Bombyx mori: one gene and its partner. The protein of the gene in region 2 interacts with the protein of the main gene of each other region in a biochemical or structural test. Links are inferred from orthologs where the notes say so. Each region holds a gene or a part of one and is shown on either strand. Other genes may lie near its edges.

Evidence for each region.
Region 1: the proteins of phosphatidylinositol 3,4,5-trisphosphate 3-phosphatase and dual-specificity protein phosphatase PTEN (region 2) and polymerase delta-interacting protein 2 form a complex in vitro, tested with the Homo sapiens proteins (2 studies listed by BioGRID). The link is inferred for Bombyx mori from reciprocal best matches to the Homo sapiens genes PTEN and POLDIP2.

Annotation. Positions count from the first base shown.
Region 1 is NC_085122.1:9,902,101-9,904,862, reverse strand, and holds the end of polymerase delta-interacting protein 2, read right to left. Parts: intron 1,839-2,762; coding exon 1,633-1,838; intron 1,338-1,632; coding exon 1,226-1,337; 3' UTR 617-1,225; downstream 1-616. UniProt on the Homo sapiens protein: Involved in DNA damage tolerance by regulating translesion synthesis (TLS) of templates carrying DNA damage lesions such as 8oxoG and abasic sites.
Region 2 is NC_085109.1:13,025,431-13,028,974, forward strand, and holds the start of phosphatidylinositol 3,4,5-trisphosphate 3-phosphatase and dual-specificity protein phosphatase PTEN, read left to right. Parts: upstream 1-744; 5' UTR 745-1,158; coding exon 1,159-1,396; intron 1,397-3,544. UniProt on the Homo sapiens protein: Dual-specificity protein phosphatase, dephosphorylating tyrosine-, serine- and threonine-phosphorylated proteins.

The DNA.
Region 1 (2,762 bases), on a different chromosome or scaffold from region 2:
CCCCATTTTACCGGTACCGTTTTCCATATGTTTGGAAAAATATTATTGATGGTATCTTCTTTTTTTTTAAACGGGTTAAACGAGCACGTGGATGCAGGATCCCAAAGAATTCGGAATGTGAATGTCGTCACATATTTTTTTGCTTAGATTTGCACCAAGAACATAAATGCCACTCACCTTGACATATAAGTTTTAAGTCTCAGTTTTATAGTGCATGGGCTACTCCGCCCTTCGAATCGAAACGCATTACTGCTCCGCCGCAGAAACAGGCGCGGTAGTTACATCTGCACGTGCGAACTCACAAGGCATTCTAACAACAGTTAAAAGAAGGTAGGTCTGAGACTCAATTGTACCATAGGTAGCGGCTTGGCTCTGCCCCTGGCATTGCTGACGTCCATGAGCGACGGTGACCACTTAACATCAGGTGGACCGTATGCTCGTTTGCCTACAAAACCAATAAATAAAAAAAAAAGTTTGACTCTAAACCGGAACACATGGCAGAGAAAGGCGGGGTGGTCGTACCTACCCATGCAGGCTCATAAGACGCCCTAATACCCGAATTTTGATACATTATAAAAATAAGATCAAAGTTTACTGCTCAAATAAAACTCGGAACCACAGAATACTGTAATTTATTACAGATCTAAAACAAAATTTATTTTAAAACAAATTGGTAAATAGATACATTATAATGAAACTAGTCTTCCGTGGTTGTCTAACAATTAAAACAAACAAAAAAATAACCTATTTATTTATCACTTAGTTATTCTACAACAAAGTATAACATAAATGACTTGGTCGCGTAATCACGTGGCAATCATATTTTTTCACAATAATTTTGCTATGATTCTCGCTTAGCTTACTTTTATTTTACAAAGAAATTTCTCATTTAACTAATAATTTACAGAACCACATAACTGGTAGTCTTTCGTTTATGGTCGTAATTTTTTTTTAAACCATAGATAATTGTTTTTTTTTGTTATGACAGCGAAGCACTGACACATCAATTCTTGTACACATAAGTCCAATTCTGGAGTCCTTTTAATATTGTTGTTTCAGAGAATTGTTTTCCGTTCGTGATATCAAGTTTACAGAGATATAGAAATTGCATCAGTAATTCTTTTAATGCTAATCTTCTTAGGGTCTAATTTCAGAATGAAGTGTTCTGGTTAAGTTCGATGACCTTAGTGGTTGAGTCGTGTGCGGTCAGGGGCGGGGGGCGCGGTCACGCGGGAGGGGCGGGGGGTGCGGTCTCGTCGGGCTTGCTCTCAAGGGAGAAGGGCGGGATGCGGCAGTCGAACGTGTAGCCGTCTTCGCGCTCCATCCTAAACGTGCCCCTGAAAATCGAATTTTATTACTTCTATTATTTTTTTTCTTAGATGGGTGGACGAGCTCACAGCCCACCTGGTGTTAAATGGTTACTGGAGCCCATAGACATCTACAACGTAAATGCGCCATCCACCTTGAGATATAAGTTCTAGGTCTCAGTATAGTTACAACGGCTGCCCCACCCTTCAAACCGAAACGCATTACTGCTTCAAGGCACAAATAAGCAATTTCACTAAAATACCACTGTCCCTTAATTATGAGGTTACAGAGAGATACATTTAAAGTTTACAAAGATGTCGGTACCACATATGGCCGCTGGGGGCCTGCAGGCTGACGTGGCTGCTGTACTGGAAGGCGGGGGCGTGCCTCGCGAGCACGGGCTCCTGCCCCACCACGCCGCGGCCCCGCACCGTCTCCAGGGTGCCGCTGAGCGAGAAGATGCGCCAGTGTCGCTCGCGGAGCTGGACGGCCTGCGCGCCGAGGTTCTCCAACCGGATGCAGTAGCGCCACTGTCAACGCAACCATTTTCGAATACTCATTTTGAAATTCGATGTTTTTTTTTTTAAGAGATTTTATGACCTGGTAACTAAGACCTTTAGGTCATGTCTTCTTTTATTCTACATTCTTATTTTTATGAATAATGATAATATGGACTGAAATGAAATGAAGATGATTAATTTGAGTGATGAAACATTAATCAACTGGGATGAATTAAAATGAAATGAGATGAAATGATATGGGATGAAATATAATCTCAGTAAAACTGTCTTTTTTTTCATTCTTTATTAGAGCCATACGTTCATGGTTTTTTTCGACCACGGCGACCAAATTTTTCAGTTTAATAACTTAAAAGCTAATGTCCGCGCCTCTCATGCGCTCTAATATGGCTACAGTAGCCTATCTTGTTCTTAAACGTGCGCAAACAGAAGCTACACGTAAGAACACCACCCACGAAGTTGTAAAAAATGGTGGAAGGCGGTCTATTTTTCAATTTATTTCGTCTGTCGTCCAGTTCGCGCCTCCTGTCGTTTTCAAAGACATGCACGCCCTGCTGTACCAAGCGTCTCCACTCCAAACGATTCTGTGCTTGAGCTTCCCAACGAGAAGTGTCAATGTTGCATTTCTTCATATGCCTCTTCTGAACATCCTTATACCTTAAGAATTGGCCGCCACTTTTTCGCTTGCCAGTCTGGAGTTCAGAGTAGAAGATGCGCTTTGTTATCCTCTCGTCGGACATCCTCATCACATGGCCGCACCAGCGCAACTGACGCCGCATTAAATATGCCTCTATACCGCCAATACCGGGCCATACACCTATTAGGTTAAGTCATTTACTGAGATTTTTTCAATGAACTTCTTGGGCGATTCCGAGAAGTTACGTCCAGTGGCTTTGTTTCATTTTCCCACATTTGTGCACTTTCACATATATTAAT
Region 2 (3,544 bases):
CTGTTTTATCACTTGATACAATTTTTATCTTGCTATGTAATATGAAATCGTTTTTTAATAATTTTGTATTTCTTACGCATTTCTTCTAACTTATTCGTGCTATTTGATTAGCGCAACTTGTGGTTTGTCAGTGAAACGGTGAAAATCTCAGTGAAACATCGAAAATGGTATATACCGCGAACCATTTGCGATGACTTAAAAAGGAAGGTATTTAAATATACCTATTTTTTAATAGTGTAAAGTGTTATTTTCATTTTCAATAGGAATATCGCTGGTAAGTAATGTACATACATGATAAAAAATAAGACGAAAGATTTGTGTTTCGTGTTTAATTGTTAAACTCACACGAAGGTACTTGAAGTAGGCGTATACTTCAAACAGTAAATTAACACGCAGTGCGTAATTTACTACATAATTAATAATGACATAGATATTACAAATCGAATATTACCATCAGCATATTTAAATTCTCCCGCTAAGTATCACAGATAAGAAATCGGTTAAAGCGCCATCTATAAATTAGAAGATCAAAGATAAATTTTTTCTTCGTAAATGCTGATAATGAATGCTGAAAAACCCAAACCATGATGAAAAATTATAAGAAATTTTAAAATAAAAAATGTATATTAAAATTACAAACATTGAGTATTAGCTAGAATTTGAATTCGGCGCTTGTTTCCAACGTAGAACTAGCGTCACCTTGGGACACAAAACAAAAACTTTTTGGAACAAAGAGCTTTGCTAGCTAGGAAACCACTACCAGAAAATAAGGTTGTGTGGCATCTCGGTCGTACATATACACAACGTGAACGAATGAAAGAGATGCTATATAGATGTCTGCCGTCAGCAGAACCATCTTAATTTCTCGTGCAGTTGTTTCGCCTCGACCGTGTTCTAGTGCAGTGCAATCGCAGGATGGACGCCATTCGCGCTAGATAATTTTTATATAAATCAAAAAGAAAAAGCGTCGTCGCACGGGCTAGGAGCTATGGTGATATAGTGCGTAGAGTGCGATTCCGTGGTGGTGCTTCAATCCGGCGGCGGCGTGGAGGTCCTCGCGGGGCGCGGATGGCGAGCGCGGGCTCGCCCGGGGGCACCGCTCGCGCTCCGCCGCCGGCCCGATGAGAGGGGCACGCTCCAAGCACCTCGACTCGTTTTATGGGTGTTTGCGTGAGCTGCCGGCGCCGAGAGCGGAAGATCCCAGAAAAGCGGTCGGTGCCGGGAGTGGTTGGGCCCGCTAAGGGCGCGGCGGCGGAGCTGCTGCCCAGGCCAGTGAATCGCTTTACAGCCATGGCAAACTCCATGTCAAATATCAAGATGACCAACCCGATAAAGAATATGGTCAGCAAGCGCAGGATACGCTACACCAAGCACGGATTCAACCTGGACTTAGCCTGTATCCTTTTTGTGTAGTGTCTGTAAAAGTTAATGTTACGTTGGAGTTCTGTGTGCTAGCCTCAGTTGAAGGTGAGTACTTTCCGTTCCGAAACTGAAGTTTAAGCTTCTAAAATTATTTCATTTATTTCATATATCTTTTAGTCATGTCATAAGTGAAACAATCCAATTTACTTCGATATGTGATGTTCCTCTCGGCTCTCTCAAGGGCACTCATTATAACCTATAAAAACACATCCGTAAATTCTCCCGATAATGTAACGATGTTTCAGGTTATAGAAGAGAAGGGCATTTGTAAAAAAATACATTTACATTAAATTATGTAGGAGTGTGTCTTGAAAAGCTATTTGAATAGTCTTAGGTTACAAGGCCTCGAGCTTACACCTATAAGAGTACTCATTCGCCGATCATGAATCTTGGCCTTGTAATTTTTTTCCAAAATAACACAATAATATTTAAAATTGTGCGAAAAACAAATAATAAACGAACCAGAAATGTTTTTGTTCAAAACTGTTAAAATCTGGCATGGCAACAACCAACATAACCTATAACTTATACATAGGTATTATGTTCTATATGATTACTCCAACTGTTTACATAGTAACTATCAGATAGTGGAGTGTGCTCTGTTAGAAATGTGTATCTAAGTTTCATGTAATGAAGACAGTAGATTTGCTATGACCATATGCAATTACTTTATATGAGTACTAGTATTTAACCATGTGTTCGTACACATAACATTGTTATGTATCAATGTGTGAGAATAAAGCAATGTTTACACTAATTATGCTTTTGAAGCACATTTGCACATTTGCATACTAATGGCAGGTTTAAAAGTGGACTGTTGCATCTTAATGCATTGCTTTGACATGTGTGGGCAAGATAGATTGTGCGTCATGGAATACCTGGTTATAGTGTTTGTGTATTAATTATTCATACACATTAATGTAATATGATAATGAAAGCTTTGAATTACCTTTATTAATGTAATAAAAATATAGGGCAATTTAAAGGCTTTTATTTTGAAGATATTCAAAATATGTGTGTACATATAGTGTGGTAGTGTACTTTAAAGAACTACACTATCGACAGTATGCTGAGAATTTTATTAAAAAAAAATGACTGTGAGTAGATTAAAATTTAGAAAAAAGAAAAACATTTAAACAAAACTTATTTGAAAATAAATATGAATAAAAATTACAAATTAAACTTCATGAACAGTTAAAAATATATGATGGATATGGATTTTTTTTAATTTGCATTATAGTAGATTATGTCTGGTATGGTTGGTGGTATGGCGGCCGTGTCTGTAATCAGTACACAGACCAACAAATTAGCTGATGCCATAGATTGGCAAACAGCTACACCTGCCCATGGACATACTTTATAACTTTATCTAAAGTTGGAATCTTTAATCCCGTAAGAGTATTACATGCCACGTCGAGTGTTTGTAGAAAACAGTAGTAGAAGAACTGTCTTTGTAGGTACAGAATTTCCTATTCTGTATCTATACAGAAAACCCTATTTCATCCCTGCGGAACTGGTGATCTTAATATTTTTTATTTAAACAAAATAAATATCTATATTATAATAATATCAGAAATTATGATTTAAGATATAATTTAATTGTAATTAGAGAAAATCTGTTGATATCTTTGTTTGTGAACTGAAATTTTGTAGTTACTTTTGTAGCTCATGGCAAGGTTCATGGTGAGTTTCTATAATAGTACCATTAGCGTACGCCAGGTGGCGCACAATAAATGTGCGATCCAGTTTGATAGAGAATAAAACAATATTAATGTTGATTAAATGAATCAATTAACAACTTGCATAATATAGTTAATTTTAAAATATTTGGATTATCCATTCAGGACTTTACCACATGCCTCAAGCCTATGTTCATTGGTGACCACTTGACACTAGGTACGCGGTGATTTCGTCTTTCACCCACCACCCTATAAACATCTTAACAGACACATAAAGGTATAGGTAACCTATAGGTAAAAAGCCAATGTTTTGGGAACGTGTTTTGTATAGGCAAATCATATCTAACGAAATATAAAAAATAATGACAAAATATATTTAATATTAGTCTGAATAATAATTCTCGATATCAGAAGCACAAGGTCGGATCTATTTTATGCAAAAA